Linked DNA regions of Canis lupus familiaris. The protein of the gene in region 2 purifies or fractionates together with the protein of the main gene of each other region. This does not show direct contact. Links are inferred from orthologs where the notes say so. Each region holds a gene or a part of one and is shown on either strand. Other genes may lie near its edges.

What was found.
Region 1: the proteins of NUDCD1 (region 2) and COPG2 purify together in Homo sapiens (co-immunoprecipitation; 3 studies listed by BioGRID and IntAct, with this or other methods). This does not show direct contact. The link is inferred for Canis lupus familiaris from reciprocal best matches to the Homo sapiens genes NUDCD1 and COPG2.
Region 3: the proteins of NUDCD1 (region 2) and DHX15 purify together in Homo sapiens (co-immunoprecipitation; 3 studies listed by BioGRID and IntAct, with this or other methods). This does not show direct contact. The link is inferred for Canis lupus familiaris from reciprocal best matches to the Homo sapiens genes NUDCD1 and DHX15.

Annotation. Positions count from the first base shown.
Region 1 is NC_049235.1:6,235,850-6,245,951, reverse strand, and holds part of COPG2 (coatomer subunit gamma-2), read right to left. Parts: intron 8,442-10,102; coding exon 8,308-8,441; intron 7,760-8,307; coding exon 7,692-7,759; intron 5,606-7,691; coding exon 5,417-5,605; intron 1,135-5,416; coding exon 1,039-1,134; intron 726-1,038; coding exon 482-725; intron 1-481. UniProt on the Homo sapiens protein: The coatomer is a cytosolic protein complex that binds to dilysine motifs and reversibly associates with Golgi non-clathrin-coated vesicles, which further mediate biosynthetic protein transport from the ER, via the Golgi up to the trans Golgi network.
Region 2 is NC_049234.1:10,118,871-10,129,698, forward strand, and holds the start of NUDCD1 (nudC domain-containing protein 1), read right to left. Parts: upstream 6,515-10,828; 5' UTR 6,503-6,514; coding exon 6,211-6,502; exon of another isoform or gene 5,872-6,210; intron 5,605-5,871; exon of another isoform or gene 5,585-5,604; intron 1-5,584. Other genes in the region: transcription and mRNA export factor ENY2, read left to right, coding at 6,792-6,797, 8,224-8,300.
Region 3 is NC_049224.1:86,189,082-86,199,183, reverse strand, and holds part of DHX15 (pre-mRNA-splicing factor ATP-dependent RNA helicase DHX15), read right to left. Parts: intron 6,307-10,102; coding exon 6,220-6,306; intron 5,139-6,219; coding exon 4,989-5,138; intron 4,588-4,988; coding exon 4,479-4,587; intron 3,998-4,478; coding exon 3,806-3,997; intron 893-3,805; coding exon 770-892; intron 1-769.

The DNA.
Region 1 (10,102 bases), on a different chromosome or scaffold from region 2:
TACCCCACGGGGTGGCAGGGGGAGATGTCTAAGCCAGTAGCTAGTAAGAACGCATCAGAGGAACATTTATATTTTTCATAGGAGAGATTTTCACCTGTTTGTGGGCTAAGGGGAAGGAAAGATTAGAGAGGGAGAAGGAAGTGAAAAAAATTTCCTAAGACCTGATAAAAAGTCACTTAAAAATACACAACAATTCCTAGATTTTCATACTGATGGCTGTAACTCTGAAAAAAATGCATGATGCCATCAGCGTATTCCCATTATACTGAAAGTCAAGGGTTATTCATCTCTAACAAAAGGTGGAAATCAGGATGGAAATGGGAGTACAAAGAGCTGTGCGTCTGGCCTAAGTATGCTCCAAGATCCTGCCGTCAAATAGACCTTGCAACTTCATTTTCCAATTTCCTATCACCACCCCCTTGAGTTAATAAGCATTCAAAAGATTAACAGTTACATCAGTATCAGTGTTCCAATGACTCACCAGCTCTGACAGCCTCATTCTCCAGTACGACCCTATTAAAAATAAAGCGGATATACTTGGAGGGGACAGGTGTTCTGGGGCCCTCTTTGCCCAACAAGTGTAGAATCTTAGTAGCCAGAACAGTGTGTTCACAGTCCTCAATGAATTCACAAAGGTGGGCTAGACCTGCTTCTTTACCCTCAGGGTTCTCTTCCACAATGCTGATTATGCAGTCCACAATGGCCCGCTTATATTCAAAGCCTCCCTGGCAAAAGAGAAAACTGCCATTCATTCTGAGGACGCTTTTTGGAGAAATGCTTCTACTCCCAGGCTCAAGCTTCTAATATTCAAATTTCATTTCCTTTCCCTTCTGAAAGAAACAAAAGTGTTTTTTCTCCAAGTGGGAAAACTAAAACAATAGCACATTTAGTAACGATAAGATGGCAACCAGAATTAAGCATACCATTTTGGGGGCATGCCGAGATGATAAAACTGTTTTAAACACAATGTATGGTGTTTCATGGGAATTGTAAATATTTAAGAGGGCAACTTCCTATGATGAAAACATGTCTACCTACATCATCTCGGAGCATGTTGGAGAGGAAGGTCATCATGACGCTGTGCTTTCGAGGGTATTTCTGACAGAGAGCACTGATTGCCTGTACAACCACCACCTGTGGAAAAACAAACACAGACAGGACGTTCATCTTTACACCTTCAGCTACCAGGTATACTTTCCCTCTTACTGTTGGAGCTAAGGCGGTGCCGTCGTTACCTGGAATGGCAATAATGGCCCTTCATGAAAGATAGGTTAAAAAAAAAAAAAAAAAACATGTAAAAATGAAATTCATCCAAGAGACCCCAACCCTTTGTTCCAAGCCAGTAAGCACATAAAATCTTTAAAGTAAAGAGTAAAGATTAAAAGCATAAACAGAGGGGCATCTGGGTGGCTCAGTCGGGCTCTTGATGTGGGCTCACGTCATGATCTCAGGGTCATTGAGATCAAGCCCCACGTCGTGCTCCATACTTGAGATTCTCTTTCTCCCTCTTTGCCCCTTCCCCTTGCTTGCTCATGCTTTCTCACTCTCAAATAAAAAAATTAATTCTTTTTAAAAAGCATACACAATCTCCTTAGAAGAAATTGAAAATTACCAAGGAACTACTTCACAAAATGGTTTCTAGGAAAATTTTACCACAACTCTGAAGACCAGCATCAAGACGTGAGCAGTGTGAGATTTTCCCCTACCCACAAGCTAACAAGTTAGTCTGCCACAATTTCATGGATTGCTGGTAGAGAGAACACAAGACTCCTGGATCAGAGATGAAAGACAATTAAATACAGCAAAAGCAGTGGATAGAATATCAGCATATTGAGGCCAGGTTCCTCAGCCCCAATTCGCAGAGGGCAGTGTGTAAAGGGCCACAGTAGCTCTAATTACAGAAGAACCCCGAGGTGTGGAACTCAAATATTTTACAGAGGGTAGTAAGCATGCCAGACCTTTGTGCTGAAGGGAAACATCTTTATTATCCTGGACAGTGAGCATGCTTGCTTTTTGCTCTAGGGAAAGCACTAGCTATATCTTCTACTGCTGCACAGAAATCTGCCCCTTTTAGAGGGAGACACTGTATCTTCTGAGACTGGAAGAGATCTTGCACTATACAAAGGGAGCATGTATAAGCATAACTAGTTAGAAGATATAATGGATACAATCATTTTTAACAGCAACAACAAACAAGATAAAATACGAAAAGCATTTTAAAAGCATTTAAAACTAACAAAAATACTATAAAAGATTCTTAAAAGGCACAACAGTAGACTTGAACAAATGAAAAGATAACCCTTGTTCTTGGATAAGATGTCTCAACATCATCTAAGATGTCTCTTCTCAGGAAGCCCGGGTGGCTCAGTGGTTTAGCGCCGCCTTCAGCCCAGGGCCTGATCCTGGGGACCCAGGATCAAGTCTCATGTCGGGCTCCCTGCATGGAGCCTGATTCTCCCTCTGCCTGTGTCTCTCTCTCTCTCTCTCTCTGTCTCTCATGAATAAATTTTAAAAAAAAATGTCTCTTCTCCCCTAAGTTAACTTATAAATTCAATGTGATCCAAATAGAGATGCCAATGAGATTTTTCATGAAGCTAGACAATACTAAAATTCATAAGGAAAAATAAACACGTTAAGGATAGCTAGGGAAACAATGAAAACAAAGCCATGTCAGGGGACTGAGGGATACTAATACATCCTACAAAAGCCTGTATATTTAATAGTGTGTGGTACTGATACATAAATAAAGAACAAAATAGAACAGGAAGCCCCAAAACAGACCCACATACATATGGAACTTTAACATATGATAAAGGTGGTACCTCAAATCACTGGGGCAAAGACAGTCTTGTAAATAAAATTGGTGGGGGGGGGTGGGCAACTGGATAATCACTGAAAAAGGAGAAGATTAGATCCAATTTCTCATACCATATATAATAATAAAATCCAATGAATCAGAGATCTAAATGAAAACATGGAACTATGTATGTATTAGAAGAAATCATAAGTGAATCCTTATTCGCCCAATTAGATTCTATAGTCTGAAGGGAAAGCTCCTTCCTTTCTTCCTTCCTTTCTTTTTTTTAAAGGAGTGGGAGGAGGGAAAGAGGGAGAGGGAGAGAGAGAACATTGGGTGTGGAGCCTAGCGTGAAGCTTGATCTCATGACCCTGAGATCATGACCTGAGCCCAAATCGGATGCTTAGCCAACTGAGCCACCCAGGCGTCCTTGGAGGAAAAGCTTTCTAATACCCAAGAGTCAAATGCAACAAGATTGACAAACCTTACTACATAAAAATTACAAACTTTTGCACAACAAAAGACATAAGAAAAGGCAAATGACAAACTGAGAGAAAATATCAAAACTTATTTCATAAGGAACTAACATCCCTAATACATAAAAAGCCTGAAATAACTGAGGAAACAAAAGACCAAAATTTCTTTAGAAAATGGAGAAAAGAGATGAGTAAATGATATTCAAAAAGAAATATTAAATGATCTTTAAAAATGTAAAAAGATGTTTAACTTCCCTCATAAGTAAAGAAATTCATTAAAAATACATTGAAATATACTTTTTCACCCACCAGGTTGGCAAAACTTCAAAACATAATATATACTCTATTGGTGAGGCTATGGGGAAACTGGCACTCTTACACATGCTGGTGGAATTTAGCATTCTCTACACAACTACACTTTCATTTACCCTTCAACCTAGCACATGAACTTCTAGGAACTGACCCTGAGATATACCTACAACATTCTGAGAAAACACACACAAGTTTATCCACTGTATTAGTTGTGACTGCAAAATATTGAAAATTATAAATATCTACGCATAAGAGATTCATTCAGTAAGCTATACCACAAAATGACCTTTATAATCTTCCATAGTTCCCCAAGATTCAAAATGTCTACTTGAATATATAGGCTAAGTTTGTTTTTTAAAAGTTTAGATATAGGCGTGGACTGGGTGGTTCAGTCAGTTAAGCATCTGGCTCTTGATTTTGGCTCATGTCATGATCAAGCCCTTTGACAGTCTCCACACTGAGCATGTAGCCTGCTTAAGATTCTCTCTCCCTCTGCCTCTCCCCACCATTGCTCCTGTGCTCTCTCTCTCAGAAAAGATCTAGATATATAGAAGAGAGTAAATAGAGCCAGTTATGCTTCTTAACTGAGAATTGAATAAGAATGAAATAATAAACTCTTTCTAATTTAATTCTTTTAACTGAGATTTATTTTACTGTTCTTCTATCAGCTCTGACACATTCTCACCAGTTCTATTCAATACTATAGTGGAAATCCTAGTTACTTTAATAGGGCAAGAAAAAGAAAGGGAAGGCATTTAGTTTGGAAATGAAGAAGCAAAACTGTCTCTATTCACAGATAACATGATTATTTACAGACAACCTTAAGGAATACATAACAACTACTGGAACCAATAAGGGTACTGAGCAATGATACCAAGTTATGACAAAGAGAAAAAAATATTTTTATATATTAAATATATTTATATTTTAATATTTAAATATTATATTTACATATATTATATATAATATATATGATAAAGCATATATGTATATGTATTTTTATATACTACTAGCAGACAATAAAATAGGAATTTTAATAGAGTAAAAAAGCATAAAATATTTAGATACAAATTTAACAAAAGATGTGCAAGACTGATATAGTAAATGCTATAAAACACTGCTCAGAGAAATTAAAGAAGACCTAAATAAAGGGAGAGGCATACCATATTCATGAACTGGAATACGATGTTACTGTTACGATGTCAGTTTTCCCCAGATTTATTTATGGATTCAACATAACCCCAAGAATAATCCTAGCAGACTTTGTTTCATAGAAATTATAAGCTGATCCTAAACTTTATTTGGAAATGTAAAGGACCTAGAATATTAAAAAAGGACAAAGTTGGAAAATCACATGGCTTGACATTTAAGAGATACCATAAGGCTACATTAATCAACACATTGTGGCATAGGATTGACAAATAGATCAACAGAATGTGATAAGGAACCCAGATATACCTACAATTACATAGTTATCTGCCTTTCAGACAAAGATGCCAAAGCACTGCAGTGGGGAAAAAGAAGTCTTTTTCAATAAATTATGCTGGAATGACTAGATATTAGTATGGAAAAAAACCTTGAACTTACCATACACAATATATAAATATTTAATTCAAATTGGGTCATAGACCAAAATGTAAAAGCTAAACCCATAAAACATTTAGAAAACATAAGAAAATATCTTTAAGGCTTGGAAGTAGACAAAGGCAATATAACAGTGAAAGAAAGAAATTAATAAATTAGACTTTAACACTTTTGCTCATCAAAAGATACTGTTAAGAAACAGGCAAGCCAGAGACTGGGAGAAACATGATCATATTTAAACTTTTACCTTGAACTCATCTGAGATTTCAGAAACAAAAGAAGATATCTGCTTCATAAGCCTGTCCACACTGCTCTCACTCCCTGTTTTGAGGAGTGTAGTAATGGCCAGGGTAGCGATGCTTCTGTTTGAGTCTGTGATCAAGTTTTCTAAGTCCAGATTGCAGGCAGTGACAGCAGAGGGGTGCTTCATTGCCACCTTGTGGAAGGGCAAGAAAAATAAATTAAGCAAATTGCTACTAATGAAGACCAGAACTTTAAAAAACAAAGGAAGAGGAAAACAGATATTTTAATCAAGGTAAGTGGCTTTTAAAAATCTAAATGGGGAACCCTGGGTGGCGCAGGAACCCTGGGTGGCGCAGCGGTTCAGTGCCTGCCGTTGGCCCAGGGCGCGATCCTAGAGACCCGGGATCGAATCCCACGTTGGGCTCCCGGTGCATGGAGCCTGCTTCTCCCTCTGCCTATGTCTCTGCCTCTTTCTCTCTCTCTGTGTGACTATCATAAATAAAAATTTAAAAAAAATTATAAAAAAAAAATCTAAATAGGTCAAAAGTAATTGTTTTAAGAAGAACATTTTCAATTAATAAGGCATAATATATCACTTGACAAACACCTGCCAGAGTCATAGTGTAACATAGCACTTTCTCTTCCTAGGTCTCTAGTTTTCTATAATTTTTGTAATAATACCACAGCCTGTATTTTATTGCAGTTGACCTGTTTTTGTTTATAATACATGTGTACATGGATATATACGCTACTAGATGTAAGGATCTACTAGATGTAAGGATCTACCATGGTAAACACTGCTCAAAGACTGTTAATATCTTATCACTTAGAAAACACTTCTGTATTTAAACAAACTCCAGCCAAACTGGATTGCTCACACTCCCTAAAACATGTCTCATTCTCCTGCTTCTTTGCTTTTGTCGAAATTGTTCACCTCTCTGTCTCAATATTGGTATAGAATCCTTTACCCACGATTTAAAAAATTTGAAAACTCAGCAAAGTATTGGCATCAAAACTCATTTAACAGGAAAATCTGACCCAAAATAATATAAAATGAGTTAAATCTTAATTTATTCCACTTAGTGAGGATAGTCATATGTATAACAAAGAAATATTAATGTCTTAAAAAATATTAATGTGCCTTATGGTAGGGGACTGCTCTAGGCTCAATGGAGTTAATATATAAGAGACAGCACCATATTGCCTTCCCAAAATTCATAAAGTACTGAATTCTGAGACACATCTGTCCTTAAGATTATAGCTAAAGGCATGTGGACCTATATCACCTCTTAAAAGTATAACTCAAATTCTGTGAAGGTTCTTCTTTGGTTTTCCAGTAAAGATGCAATTAATTTGTAATAGATCACATACTGCCTTATGACAAGTCTTCTTCTACATTAAACTTTCATTTCAAATGTTTATGGTTCTTTGATTCATTCTATGTTTCTGAACTGTATCCTCTAAACCTGTGGCATCCAATATAGTAGCCAATAGTTAAATGTGACTACTAAGCACTTGGTATCTGGCTAGTCCAAATTAAGATACGCTCTAAACATGAAATAAGCACTGGATGTCACAGACTTAGTATGAAAAAACGTAAGGCAATATAGATCTTTAATAATTTTACACTGATTCCATGTTGACAAGACATTTTATATATATGAAGGTAAATAAAATATATTATTAAAATTAATTTCATCTTTAAAAAATTTTTTTAAAGATTTATTTATTTATTCATGATAGACACAGAGAACAAGAGAGGCAGAGACTCAGGCAGAGACACAGAGGGAGAAGTTACTGTGGTTACTATAAAATTTAAAATTACAAATGTGACTCACATTGTGTTGCACCAGCACTGTCCAAGAGAACTTTCTACAGTGATAGAAATGTTCTATATTTTTTCACTGACCAATATGGCAGTCACTAACCACATGATTACTGAGCAGATGGAGTATGACTAGAGTGACTGAGGAGCTAAATTATCAGGGTTTTTAAATTTTTAATTAATCTAAATGGAAATGGCCACTCATGGCTGATGGCTATCCTATTGGACAATGTGGTTTTCAGCCATAAAGTGCTTGAAAGTCAGAAATGAATTATAATCTTTAGTTGAATGGTAAAAGTAGCCATACATAAGGCCACAAATACAAGGAAGGTGCTCTAGAAGTGAAGACCATAAATCCTACCTTTCTATCTTGGGGAGAAAGTCAAATGCTTCACATGTAATGTTTCTCAATCAAACATTGATATAAGTCAGTAGTTGGCAAAGGGACACCTACCTTGTTCAAGGTCCTCACAGCTGCATATCTCAAAGCTGGCTTAGGAGAGCTACAGAAAAGCTGAAGAACTAGAAAGAAAAAAGATCTTTGTGAATAAAGCTCATTTCATCATATTGCATATATCTGAAAATACAGTACATAATTATATTCAAAGTATGCATCAGGAAATTAGATCACAGCATCAAAGCTTCACATGAAAAACTTATCAAAAATAGAAAAAACACTTTTTGTTGAGCTATAAAAAGTTTAAATCCAGAAAACAAAGTTTATTTTTATATAAGAATTCATATAGGCATTAATACTTGAATTTGTGGTAGGAATATTTGTAGGGATAAGAGCAAATGGGCTTTTTAAATATGAAAGAACTAAAGGAATGAGAGTTACTTGTCTTCTAAGTAAAAGGTTTTTAATGTTTTATATAGGGAAATAGTAACTTCAGAAAAAGAGGTAATTAATGAAAACAAAAATAAATCATCTACATGTTAGAATGCAAAGGTGTATATATTAAAGCTAAGGTTCAAAAATCATTCTTACTACCTATCCTGCAGAACTGTGGAACTTAAAACAAAAACATGCAAATATAAACAAAATCCTAGCTATCAAATACACAACTGACCTGAAACAGCAGGTGCCAACTCCCTTGCAGTACAGTTAGGAAGATGGATGATAGCTGACGCAGCTTCATAAATAACCATTTCATGTTTATTTCGCAAGCAGCTCTCAATGAAATCAAAGAGTGGACTTTCATGGCTGACAACAAATATACATAACACATCATTAGATATCAAAAAGAACAAGCGCGATATGCATAGCAGTTAAAAACACAGACAGATCAAAAGTACTTTCAGAATTATGGATGAAGAACCTCTGAAAATCCATTCCTCCATAAAAGCAATGAGAACACTGGCATAAATTTTCAAAATCAACTTTTTGAGCACTCTAGAAATTAGCCAAAGACTTGCAACAATCCTAGAAACATTTATTCACGAAAAACAGACGAATTTTCAGAAGAACAGCAAACTTTCTGATGTTTTCCCTTACTCTATTTCAATTCCCTCTTCCCAGGTTCATGGTAGCTTTGGAAATCAGCAGCCTCAGAATTGCAGTAGCTATGAAAGCCAACAGACTAGCAGCCATTGGAAGAGGCAGATGGGTTTGGAGCACCCTCAAAAGCCCTGTCTCCCAGGGAACTGTAACTATTTGACCTGACTGGTGCTCCCGAGAAAAGCCCCATTCACGGAGCTAATCTTTATTTCATCTGACTCAGAGCTCAGTCAATGAGGAAAGCCCTATCCTCAGCAAGTTTGTCCCCCCAAATTAGTGGCAACTATTTAACACTGCAGTTGCCAAGGGCAATGATTCCACCTAGGGCAAACAAGAGGCTGGCCAAAAAACTTAAAGGGAAAATTTGAGAAACAAGATCTCTATAGGAGATTTTGGCAATTTCTGACATATTCCTGGGGATCCAGAAGTCTGTGCATATGTAGAAGGCTGTGCAAATACCCAGGAAAGACAAGACAAGCCCTAAGCTCTCACCCATGCTTGACTTCAAGGTTCTGTGCATATAGGAAGCGAAGGCTAAGGCAGAGCTGTAAACTGCCAGAGCATGGATGCCATGCCCCAACACACAAAGTGCCCATTAGAAAAAGAGTTGGGAAATCTATTGGCTTAAATCATTTAAGAAAATCTGTCAACTCATTACCTGATGACATAATCAAGCAGAGACTTCAGTAACTGCATATGACAAAGAGTCCTATGCAGAATTAGTCTGGGAAAGTCACTAAAAAAACAATAAGCAGCAACAATAATAACCTCTGAGGCTGGGCAAGAGGGCAATGTAATTACCAGCATTGCCACAATACTTAAAATGTCCAGTTTTTGACAAAATGTTATGACACATGTAAAGAAATAGTAAAGTATGAAGTCCATAGTAATTATTCTTGGGGAAGGCCAGGCATTAGATTTGGTACTGGATGTATCAGGCAGAGACTTTATCAATGAATATAAACATGTTCAAAGAAATAAAGAAAACCATTTAAAAGAATTAAAGAGAATTAAAGACCTGACAATCATACCTTACCAAAGAGAGAATATCAATAGAGAAGTGACTTTGGGTTCATTTGTTGTGGTGGTGGTGGTGGTATTTTTAAAGAAACCAAAGAGGAATTCTGGATTTGTAAAGTGCAATAACTAATGAAAAATTCAAATATGCAATTCAGCAGCTGATTTGCACTGGTAGTAGAAAGAAATCAGTAAACCTGAAGATAGGTAAATGGAAACAATTCGGCTGAGAAAATAAAGAAAAAAGGATGGAAAAAAAGAACAGAGCGTTGGAGAGCTTTGGAATATGACTAAGGGCATGAACATTTTCATAATAGGAGTCCCAGAAGGAAAAGAGAGAGATGGGGATT
Region 2 (10,828 bases):
TAACATATATTTCTGTATATTATATACTGTGTTTTTACAATAAAGCTAGAAAAAAGAACATGCTATTAAGATAATCATAAGGAAAATACTTTTACAGTAATGTACTATTTATTGAAAAAAATTCCACATATAAGTGGACCTGAATATTTCAATTCCACATTATTTAAGGGTCAAATGTATTGAAAAAAGAAAACATATCAATATAGAATCCTACACAGGGCATTTAAAAATGTCTCTCTTTTTTAAAGATTTTATTTATTTACTAACAAGAGACACAGAGAGAGGCAGAGACGTAGGCAGAGGGAGAAGCGGACTCCCTGTGGGAAGCCTGATGCAGGACTCGATCCCAGGACCCGGGGATCATGACCTGAGACAAAGACAGACACTTAACCACTGAGCCACCCAGGAGTCCCAAAAGTATCTTTTGAAAACACAAATACAACATAAAGGCCAGAAGAAAGAAACAAGTATTCTATTTTAGGGTGTTATATTACAAGTGGTGTAAAATTATTTGAATGTATTACGTAATAAGTTAAAGATGTATATAACCTTAACCCTAAAGCAACCAGTAAAATAACAAAGAGTGATAAAAATGATTTCATAAGACGGGCTTCCAGCATGGAGCCTGCTTCTCCTCTGCCTCAATTTCTCTCTCCCTCTCTCTCATAAATAAATAAAATCTTAAAAAATGATTTCATAAGAAAATAATCCAAAAGAAGGTATAAAAAATGGAATGAAAAATTAGGAAAAAAAGGGGAAAATTTCATCTTCCCAAAGACTAGATAGGACAAACAGAATATCCATAGCAAGATGAAAGACCTAAACTAACAAAATCAATAATCACATCAAATGTAAATAGTCTAATTAAAAGGTAGAGATTGTCAAGTTGAATAAAAAAAGACTCAACTATTTCTGCCAATAGTATATACATGTTAAATACTAAAACACAAACAGGTTAAAAGTTAAAAGATGGAAATAAATACGTAAGATTTAGCAAAAGAAAGCTTGAGTGACTATTTTAATATCAGATAAGGTTTCAGAGTAAAGAATATCAACAAGGATAAAGAAGGTTATTCCTTAATAATACGGGTGTCAATTTATTAAAAGGACATGATAAAGTGTTTATGCAACATAACAGAGCTTTAAAACATATGAAGCATGGGCAGCCCGGGTGGCTCAGCGGTTTGGTGCTAGATGGTGATCCCGGAGACCCGGGGTCAGGTCCCGCGTCAGGCTCCCTGCATGGAGCCTGCTTCTCCCTCTGCCTGTGCCTGTGTCTCTGCCTCTCTCTCTCTCCTCTCTGTGTTTCTCATGAATAAATAAATCTTTAAAAAATATAAATAAATAAAATAAGATAAAATAAAATAAAATATATGAAGTAAAAACTGACAATACTGAAAAGAAAAAAAATCCACAATGATAGCCAGAGGTTTCAATATCCCTCTCTCACACAAGCATGAACTAAAAGTAATTATGCTGAGTAAAAGTGAGACAAAAAAGAGTACATACTGTATAATTCCATGTATATAAAACTCTAGAAAATGCAAACTAATTTATAATGACGGAGAGCACAGCAACAGTTGCTTGGGATTAAAGTGGAGGAACAGCGGGCTAGTTACAAAGGGCACTGGAAGTTTTGAGGAAGAAAACAAAGTTTAATATCTTGATTATGGTGAGGACTTCAGGAGTAGTGTGTATATATTTTAAAACTTGCCAACGTGTACACTTAAATACATGCAGTTTATTATCAATTATCCTAATAAGCCTATTTAATATGTGTGATATAAAATCACTTATTAATCACCAGGCATGCTCCAGCCCTTTCAAAGTAAAGCACTTAAATATGGACATTAGAACCATCGCTAACAAAACCAATAATCTTAAAAGAGAAAATAGACATTGAATGCTACAATGTATGATAAAGTCTATGATCAGGTATAATAGGAAAACAGACTACAGATTCTAATTTATACAGATTCTGTAGTATAGATTCTAACTAGATAGTCCAGAAAGGAATCTCTGAATAAGTAGCATGTAAACCAAGATGAATGAATGGAGTATGAGTTAGCTAGGTGAAATGTAAGGGGAAAACATATACAAAGACATTTACAGAATGAAGACTCTAGGAAAAAAATATGTACAGACAGTCCCCAACTTAAAATGGTTCAATTTAGGATTTTTCAACTTTGCAAGGATGTAAAAGTGGAAACTGCACTCTGAATTTTTCCCCAAGCTAGCGATATTACAGTAGGATATTCTGGTGATGCTGGGCCATGGCAGCAAGGTACAACTCCCAGTCAGGCACGTGACTGATCATGAAGGTAAACAGCTCATCCACTTTCCGTACCCATACAACCATTCCGTACCCATACAACCATTCTGGTTTTCACTTTGTATTCAATAAGTTACATGACATTCAACATTCTATTATAAATTAGGCTTTGTGTTAGATGATTTTGCCCAACTGTAGGTTAGTACAAGTGTTCTGAGCACATTTAAGGTAGGCTAGGCTAAGCTATGATGTTATGTAGATTAGATGTATTAAATGCATTTTTCAATTTAAGATGTGTGTTTGTCTGTACATTACTCCATTGTTAAGTCAAGGAAGATCTGTATAAGGTAAATGCCCAGAACTAGAATTGCTGGGTCAAAGAACAATCACAATTTTATAAAAAAAGAGAGTTGTTTGCTTAATTTTTTGGAATACACAGACTGACAGCTATAGTTTATGTAGCAAAGGGAACTTTAGAACAATTTACTAACATTATTTAAAACAAGAGAATAAAAATAGACCAGTACTCCAAGCTTTTTGAAACCAGAGCACATCTTCATCCTCACATCCTAAATGCACAGCTTCACACACCAGTCACTAACATCTTGCTGAATTAATGTAAACTCCTTAGGGAGCATAAAAGAAACCAAGTTGCCAAGAGGAGCTCTTCAATCATACTTCATTATTTCTAGAAAAGAGTTTTTAAAAGAATTAAGCTCTCCATCCTCCTCCTCAAGTAGTAATTCTTAATGCAAGCCCCTCACACGAAGGATTGCAAAAGCCTCCAAACTGGTCTCCCTGGTCCTATTCCTCCAATCTTCCAAATTCAATCTTCACAGAATCTAAAATTAAACCATTCAATCTCTAAATCTCTTTCTTTTCTATACTTAAAACCCTAAATGGGACCTCATCACCTCCAACTGTACATCGCAAACACAGACTCCAAAACCAACAATGATGAAAAGAGGAGAGACCAAGGACCATTTAGTGAGTAGTTAATAAAGCTAATGCATTTTAGAGGACTATTGTGAGAATTTGCTCTCTGCTTTTTTGATGTTAAAATATCCTTTTGTTTATGAAAGAATGGGTGAGGACATCAGTTTTTAAGAAACATCTCCACTTAGGAACTAGAGTGTATCATGCAAAGTGAAACAAGTCAGTCATAGCAAGACAAATACCACATGATTTCACTCATATGGGGAATTTAAAAAACAAAACATGAACATAGGAGAAGGGGGAAAAAGAGGGAGGCAAACCATAAGAGAATCTTAACTATAAAGAACAAATTGAGGGTTGCTGGAAGAGAGGTGTTCAGAGGATGGGTTATATGGGTGATGGGCACTGATGGCACCTGTGATGTGACCTGGGCATTATAATAAGTAATGAATCACTAAATTCTATTCCTGAAACCAGTATTACGCTATATATGTTAACTAAATAGAATTTCAGTATAAACTTGAAACAAACAAAAAAAAGAAACATCTCCCCTTGGCAAATTAAAAAGTTGGCAAATCTTTGACAGCTGAGCTTTATTTTTTAATCATTAGGGCCCAAGAAAATGTCTGGGAAACAGTGACTTACTCCCCAGATGTGTGGATAAAGTCCACAAGACAAACAGTGCCCTCACCTATTTTTCTAAGTGGTCTCTACTTCTCCAGATTTTTTTGCTCCAGTTACACAGGGCTGCATCAGTGTCCTACACACAACTTACTCTTTTCCATTGCTCTTGCTTTCTAAGGAATGGAATGACCTCAATAACAACTCCTTCTCTTCTTCATTCACTCAATTTATTGAGCACCTACAATGCTAAGCACTAGGAATAGAGTAGTGAACAAAAGAAAATATTACTGATATTAGGGAGCTCACAGTCTAGTGGAGGAAACAGGATATCAAATAAATAGAAAATTAAAAACTATGATGATACTGCTTTACAGGGAATGGAAGGAAGGAGAATGGAATGGTGGGAAAGCTAGTCAATAAACTATAGTTCAGGTAAGATATAACTGATTTGGAGAAGGGTAGAGGCAAGAAGTCAAACCTTGAGCTGACTATATTGCTGACAGACTGAACAGAGGGACTAAAAGAAGAAATACTTCATGACTCCAACATAAGCAACTATATATATAGACCTGCTCTAATAGTCCCAATTTTTATGCCTCCCTGAATCTATGCCCTTTGCTATGAGCTTGCTATATACTGACCTTAAAGCTTGCTTATATGACTTGTTTGGAAAAATGGGACAACAGCAAACTTATTCCAGGCAGTAGCTTGAAAAAATGCCTGTGTGCTGCTCCTTTTCTCTTGGATTAAGCCTGGGCTAATGAGAGATCACACGGAGTAGAGCTAAGCAAAAGCATCTGAAATAATTTTATACTAGTCTGTAGCCAGAGAACCTCCAAATTTGTGAGGAAGTATAGCCAAGATGAGGAGAGCCATCAAGCAGATGCATAACTGAACAAAGACACAAGAATGAGTCCAAGCCAACACTAGAAGAAACACCTACCCGACCTGCAGACTTGTGAGCAACAGTAATTGCTTACCGTTTTGAGCCACTGAGTTTTGGGTTGCTTTTTTTAATGCATAAACGAAACACAGTGGTACCATTTACTGACATGAGGTGGAAGAAAGAAAGGAAGGGATGAAAAACCAAGCTCCTTTTAGCTTAGTCCGGTCAACTCCTACCTATCCTTCAGAACCCAACTTAAGATATCAGCTCCAGGAAGCTTTCCCAGATCCCCAGGCAGGTCTGCAAAGATACGTAAGCACTACCATTACCACTACCATTACCGTCTGTACATAACCCAATCACTGCTTTATCACAGTTTTGTAATTATGTTTATATTTTTCTTTCCAAGTAGCCAGCTGCACTTTTATGTTACAGACTGTACCTTTTATTTTTTTTAAAGATTTTATTTAATTATTCATGAGAGTCAGAGAGAGAGAGAGAGAGAGAGAAAGAGAGAGAGGCTGAGACACAGGCAGAGGGAGAAGCAGGCTCCATGCAGGGAGCCCGGATGTGGGACTCGATCCCGGGTCTCCAGCATCACGCCCTGAGCCGAAGGCAGCAGGTGCTAAACCGCTGAGCCACCCGGGGATCCCTACAGACTGTATCTTATTCATCTTGATATCAGCTTGTAAACATGAAACAGGCTCTCAATAGATGTTTACAAACTTTATAAACACTTATTTGATAAAATTCTTTAGATCAGCATCTCTCAATGTGTGATCCACTCACAACATGCGTCAACACCAGTAGAGGTGTGTATTAAAAACGCAAATCTGTGGGCTCCTCAACTAAAATGCTTATTATACCTCGTAAAACAATTCACAAGGGTGCATTTGTTTCGGCTAGCCTCGGATACACAAAATAGCAGAAGTGTAGGTACTAAATCAACTTGTCCTCAAAATCTTCTAGAGATGTTGTCTACGATAATGCCTTTAGTCTGACAGCACCGGTGTGACCGAAAATGCTCTGAACTGCATCGGGAGTTTCTCTTCTGTGACGTGGGGCTCCGCTAGAGGAAACCGGAGCTGGGGGCCCTCCGAGGAGGCGTGGCCTCTTAACGCACACGGTTACAGAGGATGCTCGAGAGCGAAAGCAAGTCCTGCCTGAGCTTTCTCCGCAGCAGCCCGGGCCGGGGACCGACAGGCGGCCGGAGCCCAGGCAGCGCCGCGAGCCGCAGGACGGACCTTGGAGCCCGGGCCCGCCCAGGGTCTAGCTACCTAAGAGCCGCGCCAGAGACTCCCACTGGGTGCCGGGATGGGCGTCGGTCTCCAGAAGCGGCCCATCCGGGTCCACCCCAGCCCGACCGGCCGGACGGAAGGCCCCGGACGCCTTGCTCGCCCAACTCGGGAAGGAAGAAAATGAGGGAAGGGTCCGGCCGCTGGCAGCCGACAGGGGAAGAAGTAGAGTGCCAGGGGGCGCCGCCGCTTCCCACCTGCGTCAAGCTCCAGCTGGTAACAGGGCAAAGGCTCGAGGGAGAGCTTGTAACCCTCGAAACGGGGATCCAGCAGAGGTCTCTTCACGCGCAGAGAGCAATTAGCAGCCACCTCCATAGCCACCTCCTGGGTCGCAGCGAGAGAATTAATAAAGCTCTTGTTGAAAGGTCCGCGCTTCGCTCGTAGCGCCGAGGCTCGCAGGCGGCGTGGTTCCCATCCCAGAAAGCACTGCGCGGTGCGGGATGCCTTCTGGGAAATGTAGTGTCCAAGGGAAAGTGGACTCTGTTGCATGTCGGGCTATGTAGTTTTTTGGAGACCTAACGCCCCAGCGACAGCATGGGCCGGACTCTCTTACCCAGAGGGCTGAGCTACCAGGAGGCGGCCCGCGCTGGTTAAATTCTCACATTTATAGGCAGGGGAGCGAGACCCCGCCCCGGAAATGCGTGTTTTAGCTTTCTGTGTGCTTAGGTGCCCGAGCTACTGAGGGTCTAGGTCCGGGCAGCCGAAGAGTGTGGTAGGTAACGGTCGTCAGCGCAAGGGTCATTTCGTCGCTGGGAAGGGACGGCCCTCGCCCGCGGTGATGGTGGTGAGCTATGCCCGTGGTCCTCAGGGCCGGGACCCGGGCCCAGCCCAGGCTCCTTTCGATGTGCTGTCTTTCGTTAGCTTCCCCGACCCGCGCTCGCGGGCCTGTAGGGCTCTCCGACAGGGCGTGCAACCGGAGTTGGCCTGAAGCCAGTCCACGCTTTGTTTTCTGGCTCCTCCCCTCCCGCCTCTCCCGCTGTCTCCGCCCTATTCTATTTTCCCAAAGAATGTCTGAACTGGGAGGGATCCCCTAGCGCCCTCGTTTTACCAGTGAGAAAACTGAGGCCTTTAAGAATTGACTTGCCCAAGGTCACTATCCGTATTTTAGGGGCCAAGGCGAGATCAGGTTCAATATTCCAGGAATGGTACCGATTAGACCTTAGAATTGTTTTGAAAATGTTAGCCTCCAGCTACAAGCGAACATTTCTCAGCCCTTCCTTTTTCCTGTTGCACTCAAAAAAATTTTTTTTCCCAACTCAAAACTCAGTTGCCAGTCTTGAGTTTTCATATAGGCGAGACGGGACACAGCAAAAGTGGTCCCAAGTTAGTGACAAATTATCTGCAGTAATGTGAGCTTATTGCAGCTGTTACATTCTAATAACCTTCCTCTCCTTTCTACGTCACTCTGATTTTGGTTGTCTTTTTTCACTGAAAATTGAGAGTTTTCTAAATTAGGAGTTAGTTTGAGATTTGTTTTTTTCCTTTATTCCACCAGCAAGCTTCGATGAAGAGCATACACAAGCACATACTCAGAGTTAGTTTGGCAGTTGTAGAATTCTGGGCACACCCTACAGGAAAAAAAAAAAAAAAAAAAAAAAAAGTAAAGCACTTTGAACCTAATCTGGAAATTTCATTTTTCACCAACAGTGCTTAATCTTGTATTACTCTCTAGGTTATATGGCTTCCCCGAAATTTTGAATGCAGTTACGGTGCAGAAATGATAAGCAGTTATGATGTGCTGTTAAAAGTGTGTTGAGACTGCTGGGCTCAAAGTACATGAGTTCAAATCCTGTCCTCACCACTTGCTATCTTGGTGCCTCAGTTTTCTCAATTGTAAAATACGAATTGTGTTAATAACTCTTACATGAAAGAATAAGTTTTGGGAATTAAATGGGGGAAAAAAACCCAACCCCTGTGTTAGCCCAATACCGGGCACATAAGTATTGCATAAATGATACGATAAATATCATTATCCAAAGACTCATTAATAAAGGGTATATGGCGGAGGAAAATTGTAAAGTGAATTAATCAGTATGACTTCTTGGGATGCAGTGACCAATATTAAGAGTAATGACATTGTTAACACACTGTTGAAATTTATCACCCCCTCAGTTGATAGGATGTTAAGTATATTAGGATGCTTACCTAGAGGGTTTAGAAGAAAATGCTTTTTATGTGTTCTGTATCTGAAAATACATGTTGATGTTCAGGTTAGCAAGATGAACAAAGATGCGCAGATGAGAGCAGCGATTAACCAAAAGTTGATAGAAACTGGAGAAAGAGAACGGTAAGCAAGAGATTGTGTTAATAAATGACATTTAACATCTTTAAATTATAGTTATGTTATATGTAATAAGAGTCTAAATATCAAGGAACAAAACTGATGTCAGTGGAAGGAATTACAGCAAATAGAGATTATCAGAAGTTTCAATTCCTAACTTCTAAAAAAACCGGTCTGCTCAGTATTTCGTTACTTAAAGGAAAGTGAGTCATCTAGAAAGGTGAACAAGAAATGACTCTTTCTCAAAGAATGTATAATCTAATAGAAAAGAAAAAATACCCAAATAACTGCAATTAAAAACATAAAGGTACCCAGTTTTAACAGGGAGAAAATATGGTAGAACCAGTTCAGTTACTACACTCTTAACCTCAGAGCAGCGTGTGGTGTTCCTACTCCCTGAAACATTCGTCTTCCCTGATCTTTTCGTCTACTTCATTTTTCAGGTTTTAGTTTAAACATCACCTCTTCTAGGAATCTATTTAGTCCCAGATACCTTGTTCTATCTAAGCATTTAATCACATTGTATTATATCCACTTGCTTTGCTTGTTTGTGTCCTTCAATATAATCTAAGTCCTTGACAGTAGAAATACCAGTGTATCCCTAAGCATCATCCCTAGCACATAATTAGCCAAGTAAATATTTGAAGAATGAACAGGTTTGGAAGTATTAAACAGAGAGTCAGGAATCAAGAAAGGCTTCCAGAAACAGGATGAAGAATTGCATAAGAAAAATATGAAGAAGGAACTGGAGGGATTTTTGAATTCTATGGTGGGTGGGGTTAAAGTAATCAATTACAAAATAGTAAAAGAGGTACTTCAGCTCAGGGAGAAAGATTAGCAGTTCTTTCAGCCAATAAAGGACATGGAGCCTGCTTCTCCCTCTGCCTGTGTCTGCCTCTCTCTCTCTCTCTGTGACTATCATAAATAAATAAAAATTAAAAAAAAAAAAAGGACAGAAGACATTCTAGGCAGATGGAACAGAATGTGCAGGTACAGAGGTGTGTTACAACATCATACTGTTCTGAGGAACTACAGAATTAAAGCTAGCAGGTAAAGTGTGAGAGTGATGTTGCTGGAACAGTGGACAGGAGGAATGGATTTTGTAGAAGCCCAAATTCTTTCATTTTAAATGATAGAACTCAGAAACTGGCTTAACCAATGGAAATATATAAGCTCATCTAACTACAAAGTTTAGGGCTTAAAGTTGCATCTGTCTCCACTGGGTCCAGGCACTCAAAATTGTTACCAAGTATATGTCTTTCTTTTTCTTTCTCAGCTCTGTTTTCCTCTGTGTTGGCTTTATTCTCAAGCAGACTCTACCCACCAGGTGGCAAAGATTAGCAGTTCAGAATTCATATCCCTCTGGCTCAGACTACCTTTCTCCTAGTAGTTCCAGCAAAGTACCTGGCGTGATTACCATCTTACTTAGGTACATTGGCCAGTTATGGTCAACCTGGCCTAGGTCTCATTTCAATTGTTGGAACCCTATGCAGATTTCTTACACTACAAGTGGTGTCAAAGAAAGGTCAGGAAAGTGGGTGATGGATTTGCAAAAACATCCGTTGTTGACTTTATCCTTGGGTGGTGGGAGTCATTAAAAGATTCTGAAAAGGGGATGACTACATCACATTTGCTCTTTAGGAATATTAGGCTGGCAATGTGGAAGATAGACTTGAAGGGCTAGAGGTCGATTACAGAAGAATGTGTTAGATTGTATCAGATTAAAAATGTAAAACAGCAAAAATGGAAGGGAGAACTTATAATTTGTTAAAGTAAAAGCAGCCCTCCATGTGAGAAATGAGGAAGAAGACATCCAGAACAATGCCTTGGGGAACTGAGAGAATATAGTATTGGCAGTAATGAATAAAGGGGATTATTTATTATTGGTTGTTTCTTCATTCATACAATTTAAAATTACTGAGTTTCTGCCATATGCTATGTCCTGTTAAAGTGCTAGAGATGGAGTAGTGAACAAAATAAAGTCTGTTCTTTCATGGAGCTTACATTCTAATGGGAGAAGATGGACAGTAAGTCTGTATTATGTAGGCAGTGATAAGTTCTAGAGGAAAAATAAAACTGAGAATAATGAGATGTGTATCTGAGGCAGAGAAAAAGAAGTTTTCACTGATAAGAGGTCAAAGATATGAAGGAATGAGGGGTCTCCCAAGAGCCAAGAACCCAAGATAGGAGCTTGCCTGGCATTTTGAGGACCACAAGCAGGCTCATGAGCCCTCTATAAATTAGGTAAGGGGAAGAAGAGATAAAGTCAGAAGCATAGCTGAGGAGGAGGAATATCATGGAGGGTCATTTAGGCTGTAGCATAGAGTTGGAATTTTTAAGTAAGTTGGGAAGCCACCAAACCGTTTTGGGAGGAGGAAAGAGAGCAAAGTATATAAAGAAGGGAGCAGGGGGACAAGTTAGAGGCTTTGGTAACAGTCCAGTCAAGAGAAGAAGATGGCTTGGACTAAGGGAGCAATAACAAAGATGATGAAAAACATTTGGATTGTAGTGTATACTTAGAACTAGAACCAATA
Region 3 (10,102 bases), on a different chromosome or scaffold from region 2:
AATCTTTAATTATATCTGTGTGCACAGGATACTGGAAGATCACAGATTATTCATAGATTATTTCTGAGTCACAGGATCTGAACTTAACTTTCTCAGTAACATAAAATCTACTGCTTTTCACAAAGACCACATCAATTTATAGTTCCACCTCTCTTGTAGGACTGTTTCACTAAACCCACTCCTACATAGCTAAGGACTACTTTGCCCTAACCTCTGCCAATTTTGTAGGTGAGAAAATGGTACCCCTAGATAATAATGCTCTTGAACTACAAGTAGAGTTGACTTTCCTCCTCATGTTTACAGACCACTTGAAGCCTGACTGAGAACGCTGATTCACATCTACAGCCCATTTTTCTATTTTCTTAGTTTTGTATTTAAGAGCTACTTATTAGTAAAATTACTAAACAGTAAAGATTCTATAAATAATACAAAACTAAACACACAAAACGAATGAAAATAAACAGTGAAACAAAGTATATAAAAATCTGTGTATTAGTGGTAAATATTATACTGGTATTTTGTTTTTAACGCTCTCCATTTTCCAGCTTTCTATAATAGGTATTTTCCCCACTGATTATAAGAGTAAACAACTTTGAAAAAGACAGACAATTTCCATTTTAAATGCTAGTCAGGAGTTTTTTCTAAAGTACCTCTGGGTTTCTAATGTAAAGTTGTCACAGATAATAAATGAAAGTGAGATGAAGAAACATCTTATATACTGCAAGTGACATTTAGACAAAAGAGTGCCTTCAATCTAATTTACACTTACTTTGTTTAAAAGCGTGGTAGACATTCAGCAGTGTCAGATGATCTCCATCTATGTGGGCAAATCTCATCTTGGCTTCATCTGCGGCTTTCTTGGCCTCCGTGGGGCGAACAAAACACTGTGGGACTAAACAAGGTTGGTATGGGCCCAACACAAACGCCCATATCGATGAGTCACGCATTCACAGATAGAGGAACAAGGCCTAGCTAGGTCAGTTCACAGAGCATAGGGCAGGGCAGGATGGCCTCCAACTGCATCTTGGACTGTTTACTACCTTGATTTGGTACATCAACACCTAACCACATCTGTAAGACAAGAGGGTTTCAAAGCTACAGAGTACCTGATGATTTTAACTAGATCTAAAAGTAGGCATCAAACAGCTATTCTGAAGGCCATCAAGATACTAGAAATAGAAAGCTCAACTTATTTCAAAAACCAGTGCCGATAGCTCTACCAATAACCAGAATTATGGTGTCAATAGCCTTTAAGCTAAATGTAATTTTTCAAAAGGCCATCCACTGAATCCACTGAATGGCTATGGAAGTTATGAAGCTGTATCTGCCCACTGCAGGGCTAAAAACCACTTTCTAGCCAGTCTATTGCCACATTTCTATTGTAATTTTTTCCCTAATGCTATGGCTATTACCAACTGGTGGGTATCACTATTAGCACCGGTGAGCAGAAGCATATGGAAACATAAAAAATATCATGAAATGTTGGGTTTTGATGATAGCAGTAGTGGTGGAAGGTTAAACCGCCTTTGAATTAAGAAAATTCAAAAAGGCTGAGGAAATTCAGCCTAGTTTTCCAGCATTTTAATAAAAAGATTAGAAAATGACGTCCCAAGTTTAAAAAAAAAAAAACTGTTATTTGGTTATTTGAATCAAAACCTCAATATAAAAACCAAATCCAATATTTGAAAGTTGACAATTAGTCTGAAACAGTCATTATTTCAAGGGTCATCAAAATATGTAACTACAGTATTTGTTTAGAGCCTCGATGTTAATTCACATAAAATTTTAAGTTGTTACAAAGCGTGCACTACATTTTTAAAATACAACTTTCCTTAATTCACTTTAGCAATTCCATAGTCATAAAAGCAGTATGAAAGTAAAAATACTTAACAGCTTGGGACTTTGTCAACACATTTTTAAAGCTCTTAAAACCTTTTCAATATAAAAAAGTATAAATGAATCAGTCCAGATAGAAGATAATGGGAATAATCAACAACAAGATCAAATACAGTATCAAATTACTTTCCCATACAGTTTCCCCTTTAAAAGATACCAAAGAAGCCAAATAGAGACAATGACACATGATCACAATAAATATTAATTAAATGTCTTGCTTAATGTAATTGAAGCAAGCTAATTCATGAAAGTACAGAAACCTCTCAAAGATACGAAAGTAAAAGTGAACTAGCTCCCAGAATTAACAGTGGGAATAAGTAGCACTCTATAAGGCCCCTGATTTGCACTATTTATATCAGGACCTGAAAATGTCAAAAACTATTTAAATGAAAAACAAAACAGTATAAGCTTGGCAAACTGTTTTTGTTCTGTGACTTCTTCCTCACCTTTTAATACCCGCCCCCGACAAGTGCCTTGCTTAATAATCACTAAACATAAATGTCCATTCTCTTGATGTGCTAATAAACTCCTGTGTTGTACAGAGCTCCTTATTACAAATAAGAGATATAGGTGGAAGATTTCAACTGCGTCACAATGACCAGTTTTTTAAAGAACTAGTAATATAGACTCAAACGATGGTAATTATATAGTATGCCTGATAAGAGAAACTGGAAGAATAAAATCTGAGCAGATAACAAATAAATATGCAATCTGTTAACCCTTGCCCCACACTTTCTCTAAAACTAAAATCTTGGGTAAGTACCAACTGGGAGCATCTAACAAAAACATGTAAGAAAGGCAGACAACAACCTACCACCACCTCCGCAAGTGAGACTACAATTTTATTAAAATGATTCGATACTGCCCTGCCCATCTGCTCTGAGTCTGATCAGTCATAACTCTGCAAAAAAACATTTTTAGCTAGTTCTTAAATAAAAAATTCACACCATTAAAACATATCATACATCTAAACTAAGCCATAATTTTATAATTATAAAATTTTTCAATTTATCTTTTAATTCCATGTAAGATTTTGAATTATTTGAGGCATTAGGTTATAATTATAGACTAATAAACCACTCTGAAACTGAAGTCATTCTCCCCAGTACTGGAACTAGTAGTATAGTATAGAGTACTTTGGTCATCAGTAAAAATATAAAATGTCTTCTATTTTTTAGCTGTAAGAATCAGTGTAAAGCTGTTAATCATATTTCTTCTTTTTGGAAAATCTAATTTCCAAATTATAATTCATTGATGGATACGCTTTACTGCTACTAAAAACAGCATGACTTGTTAACCTTAATGCTCCAATTTCCGAAATCAGCAATATTATCTATTAGGTGTCTTTCACGTATCAACTGTTTTCTGCCATTGTAAAAGAATTATGATCTGATGAGATTTTAAACCTAAAATTACACATTACTACTTCTATTTATTTGATACTAAGTTTGAAATTCACATTTGCTCAACTGCCACTAGAATATATTATTTATATGTGTAGGAAAAGTTCAATTTAAATGATAGTTTGGGTTTGTCCCAGGCTCACTTAATAGTGCCAAGTACTAGAACAAAGTTCTTCTTGTACTTTCAGTAATAAACCGCAAAACTGATGAACCTACCAAAGAACTGTTACAATTGTGTTCAGACTTGTTCTTTTCTTATTGCAATTTTTATTCGCACTCAAGAGAGCCAATGTTTTTACTATATTTTGTGCACAAGCAATTACTTTACTTTTGTAAATACTGTATCTTCATAAATCTATTTACAAGATATTTAGGAAACAAAATGAGCTCCTCAAAACCATCTATAAAATCTACTATCATACTAAATAATAAAAAACAAAACCAAATGTGAAGTCCACCCAAACTGTGAAGAGCTGGGCTTTTTTTAGTTCCTTTCCCTCTATTACCTGACAACATAGCAGTAATAGATAGGACCTCATTAGAACAGTTGTAGTCACAACTTGCAATAACCATTTTAGCGAGCTGTGGATCTAGAGGAAACTCTGCCATCATGGATCCCAATTCAGTCAGATCTCCATCATCATTTAAAGCAGCCAGGTAATTCAAAAGTTCTAAGGCTCTCATCAGAGTTTCAGGAGCTGGGGGAAAAGGCAATCTATTAGACAAACTGCTTTAACAAGCAAAAAGGTGATAAAGTACAAACTATTATAAGCAATCTCATTTTTCATTCTTCAGTGGACCAAACTCAAACTGTCATCAAATTCAGTTAGAGTTCTAGCAAACAACAATTCATATAAATTTGCAATATTTTCCTGCACAGTAGTTAAAACTGTCATTTTCCTAAATAAATTAATTCCTAACAAAAAGAAAAATTAGAAATTTCTCATTTTCCTGCTGGGTCAGTAATTCCCGGGATAATTTAGTTACTCTGAGGAAAGAAAAAAAAAAAAAAACTTTCTCATATAGTTGTCATTCTTAGTTTTAATACTAACATATAGGACTTTTCTTGACGCATACTACAAGAAAAAGTAAAGGGTGTGTGTGTGTGTGTGAGATAAGATGTAGAGATAGTGAATTTTGGTTAAAAGGCTTGCTAAAATATGCTTTGAGAATTCATACCTGGTGGATCCATAAAGTCAAAATGCACCAAATCATCAATACCAAGCTTCTTCAATTGTAACACAACTGATCCTAAATTAGAACGCAAAATCTCAGGATAGGTGTTATCCTAGCAAAAAACAAAAGTGTTTATTGTTAAACATGCCTTAATCCTCTTGCTCCAGAAAACAAAACATACCTGTTCTCTGCCTCTTTAGCTATTTACTTTGGCATTACTTCTAAACCACTGATCCACAGGAGAAGAATACTGGTGGAATATACCAGAAAGGAATCAGACACCTTCTGTGAACTATCTTTACAGGGTTGAAAGTGTTACTGCGAACTGTTCACTTCAACTTAAAATTTTAACAGAGAGCTGTATTGGTAGATTACACCATAAATCTCACTCAGGGAAAACGTAAGGCGCTTATGGTGCCAAAAGGCAAGATGAAGTAAATAAAGCAATTTTCTTCTGGTAACAAATTCAACTTAACCTTCCAAACACAGGAAGGATACAGCAAAACCTCTTACCTGCATTTCTGTTTTATAAGCTTTCTCTGTATAAAGTCTGAAGCATTTCCCAGGTCTTGTACGCCCAGCTCGACCAGCCCTCTGCTGAGCTGAAGCTTTACTAATGGCTGTTACCAAAAGAGACTCAACTCTGATTCGAGGATTATACACCTATAAGAATGAAAATAATGTAAGAATTTTTCCTTCAGTTAACCACAAAACTGTAATCTGTATGCAAAGTCCACAGCTAATCTCAAAATAAACAAAGCAGTATAGTGATGAAGGCTGCACATCAGAGACAGAAACTGAGAACTGGTTGTGCCTTAACTTTCTTTCAGATATTCTGAAATAATCATTCTGAAGACTCAAGCTAACATGGAAAGGTTCTTATCTATTACACACAAAGCTTACATCATCTTCACTCTTCTTAATTAAAAGCTTACATCATCCTTACTCCTCCTAACTGAAAATTAATTTCAGTTCTACCAGCTTTACTTTGCTTTTTTAGAGTGGATCAACAGTGTTGAAGGCTTTTGCCTGTAAAGAACCTGTCAATTTCAATACCTGATGATGTTCAGTGTGAACATCAAGAAAAATATTTTGAACTCAGTTCAGAGGTCAGTTACACACTGCCAGTTTAAAGTGAAAAATTTCCATCAGAAACATAAATACTGCATGCAACAAATTCTCCCAATTATACCTATAAAATGTAACCAAATGTAATTTTAAAAATCTGTGAATCATACAACATCACCAGTTATTTCCTGAGTAGTCACTTCCTCTGGCCAAAGTGCTTGGTATTCAGCACTGCTCAACTAGAAGATAACGTTAAAACCTTTTCAGATACTATGCCCAACACATAATAGAAACTCTAATCTTACTGGGTGATCAACCTACAAGAATGACAATCCTGTCCTCTTATTACTACTCTCATACTCCTTAAATGAACACAGAAACCGAAACACTTCCAACTGCTACAGAGAAACAAACAAAAAAACCCCAAAGCACCCTTAAAAAAAAAAAAAAAAAAAAAAAGGCCTAGGATTCAACATTATGCATGGGTTTAATAAAGGATAGTCAGCTAAGAACAGAAAGGGTTCATATCACCAAAGTCTGAAAACAAAACACAAGACAACAGGAAAATAATTCTAAAAAGTAAATTCTAGTCACTGAACAAGTACACAACACAGTATGTACTCTTAAGCTAACACCAATTTAATAAAGTAAACAACTAAAGTATTAAAGTATGTACCTTTTGTTTTGCAAATCCAGGATCAATCACAAATACCACACCATCTATTGTCAGAGAAGTCTCTGCAATGTTAGTTGACACAACTACCTGTTAAGAAATAAACAGTATATAAATTATATTATAAATGAAGTAAAATTGAAAAAAACCGTAAGGGTAGCCATGACCTTTCACTAATGAATTTCAATCCAGTAAGTAAACTAGAAATAAGGTTTCATCCTCAATGGCCAATGCAATGCAATACAAAGACAAATTAATATTTAAGATCTTAATTCAAAATCTCATTTAGTCCATCATAGCAAATTCCTTTTTCAAAGAAAGCTATTATTTCAGGTTATCACTCAATCACATATGTTTTCATTACTTAAACAGAAAGATAGCATCAAGAGAAAAATTATCGATGAAACAGTATAATAGCTTGCCTTACATGTCTTGCTGACAGAACACTACTTTGGTTATTATCCAAAGTCCACAAAACATGTATATCTTTTGGTATTTTCTGGCAGTATTTACAAAGGGAACTTTGTATCACCAAAACTAAACATTTAAAACAAAATGGCACAGGAGGGCACAGGGGGACAAAATCTCAAGTTAAGATCTAAGAAGCATTGGCACATCATCAGAATCAAATGCAGATGTTTTAGAAAGTATACAATTTCAAAGAAGATGTCACTGCATTCAAAGCAACTGTTAATCATTTGAACCTTTTACTGCCAGGGAAAAACGTTTCAAGTATTTACATACTAATATGATCCCTTGTTTTTTTCTTTACGTAAGCGTGTGATGTATGTTAGATCTATTTTAGGAAACTGGCTGGGGTTTGAGAATAACATGTCACATAATTTTTCTTATTTAACGATAAGAAAATGGGATTCTTGTTAGATTGTTTTTCCCCCAGAACCTTTGATTTTTCAGGAACAGAAAAGTGCCATTAAGTGAAAATGCCTGTATATGCAAGCAGAGGACAAAAAAGATGAATCAGATACAGGGCCTGCTCTTGCAGCCTGTGAAGGAAGATTACACATGCATAGTGTAAATGACACCATAGACTCACCCTGAGACTTAAAAAGGGTTTACTTCCACAGTTAAGACCAAGGAAACTTACCATTTGAGTTGTCTAGAGTAAGGTGGAATCTACCACGAGAGAGAAGGGAACAAGAACACTAGGAGTAGAAGATTCAGCTTAAACTATGACATACAGGCAAAAAAGCCCATAGGCACATCTGAGAAACGAAAAGGACTCATACCACCAGGAAATCCTGGAGGTTTTGAAAATTTACTAGAGACCTATTGACAGGTTAATATTTTAGAATCATTCACACATCTAAAACCAAAAATCCTTCCTTTTTTTGTATTGTGTAGTTGCAAAGACTGGTAACTAGCAAATGATAAGGAACGCAGGTCATCTAATGTTACTCAAATACAGTTTTCAGTACCTTTAAGATGGCACGCACATGGCTCAAAAATTAGAACCAAAGCAAACATAAACAAGGCTATGAGGGGATCCCTGGGTGGCTCCGCGGTTTGGCACCTGCCTTCGGCCCAGGGCCTGGAGACCTGGAATCAAGTCCCACATCGGGCTTCCTGCACGGAGCCTGCTTCTCCCTCTGCCTGTGTCTCTGCCTCTCTTTCTCTGTCTCTCATGAATAAATGAATAAAATCTTAAAAACAAAAAACAAGGCTATGAAATTGACAGGTGAATTTGAATAAATATCCTGAGTTTAATATTCTTCTACAAAGTCAAGTACGTTGACCTGGAAGGAGCAATGAATTTAGAAGTCAGTGACAGAGCCTGGAAGCCAACCTAAGTAGCTAAAGGTTTTAACACTCCCAAATCTCCATTTGCTTTTATAATTCCTGAATATTCATCTAGCTAAGACAAAACTGTTAACAAAATTAGGCAATAAATAGAGAAAGTCCTTATAAACCTATTACAGAACCAGTGACATGCTTGTGATTATATAAAAGGTCTTATGGTTTTCTGGAATTCTGGGGTGATATTATAATAGTTTTGGATACAGATTTAGAGCAGTGGAGGAAATAAAAAAATACATTTCACATGTTTCTTCTAAAACAGAATACAGTTAGTATGGAAAAATTTCTTGTTATGATCAATTCTTCAGAATTTAAAAATAATTTTTAAAAGATTTTATTTATTTGAAAGAAAGAGAGCACAAGCAGGGGAAGTGGCAAAGGGAGAGGAAGCAGCAGGCTCCCCCATGAGCAGGGAATCTGACTCCAGGATCCCCAAATCAAGACCTCAATAGAAGGGAGGCTTTTAATCAACTGAGCCACCCAGGCACCCCTAAAGTAATTTTTCTTTAGAAAATAATTTCACTTGGTGTGCATGCGTCTTTGGCTATGTCTGTGTGGCAAATAATGTAATACTTACAAGAACTGTGGATTTAAGAATCACAGGATTATGCCAAGCTGGCAAACCCCATGTCCTTATCGATAGTCTACTGCCAACCAAAAGTCAAACTCCAAAACAGAGGTGTTAAAAAAAAAAAAAAAAAGACCTTAGGCTTTCTTCCAAGGACTAAAAGTAAATTGGTTAAAAAGCTTTAAGGTAATAAAAGCTTTTTGAATAGGACTTATTTGCCATACTGATTTATTAAAGTACTATGAAAAAAAAGGCAGGGCTCGTAAACCATGGGAGGTAGGTTTGGGGACAAAAAGGGGGAAAACTCCTGTAACAAACTGTAGGACTTTCAAGAATGCTTCTTCTAATGACTTTACTACTAAAGCTGGAGAGGTAATTCTAGCTATGGCTAAAGAAAACATATATATATATATGATGCGCAAGAACAAATACATGAGATGATAAAAAGTTATCTAGCTTCCTCGAAACCTTAGTAGTAGACTAATGCAAGCCCTAAGTGTGTTCTAGATGTAGCTTGCATATGATCTAATTAGGAACTGTTCAGAACACAAAGTGATCCTGAATTTGGTCAGGGGATCTACATACAACACATGGGAATATACACAAATGATACAAGCTTTCTAGACTGTAACATGGAAATAAGTGTTTCCCCCTCAATAACATGCCTCGCAATGAAATCCACTTTGATTTATTTCAATAATTCCACTTAGAAGTAGTAGAAGTGAGAGTACCCTAAGTTACTCTATTTGAATTCTATTTGGACACAATAATGCACTTAGGTTCAACTAGTTTGGATTTTCAGTCCCCAGGGAATTCTGTGGGGGTTGCCAATTCAGTAAGGACATTAACTTCTTTATCTGTCCACATCCCAGCAGTACCACACTAAGTTATCTTCAGATAGTGGATCATTAAGCCTCTCTTTAAAACTATAGAACCATCTCCACAAGGGCCATTTCTCTTTTTTATTGAGCAGTGTATGCTTTGAGCCATGTTAATTAGTAAACTGTAAGATAAGCTACAGAAAAATCAGCTATTTGTATGGATAAAATTAATGAAACCTAAATAAAATCAAAGAGTAGTTCCTGGATTTTAATAACATCAAATCTATAAAATAGCAATTCTAAGTCTTAGTCAAAAAATGCATATGAGTAAATTTGAGTAAACTTTTAACGCTTATAACAAAACCATAGCTTGAACTTAAACTCAAATATCTGAATAAATGTCAAGCATGATCAAAACAAGCAAAATAATCTACACTCACAAAAACACATGCATTCTCAACCTTTCTTTTTTTTTTAAACATTTTTTTTTTTATGATAGTCATACAGAGAGAGAGAGAGAGAGAGAGGCAGAGACACAACAGGCAGAGGGAGAAGCAGGCTCCATGCACCGGGAGCCTGATGTGGGATTCGATCCCGGGTCTCCAGGATCGCGCCCTGGGCCAAAGGCAGGCGCCAAACCGCTGCGCCACCCAGGGATCCCCTCAACCTTTCTTGATCATTA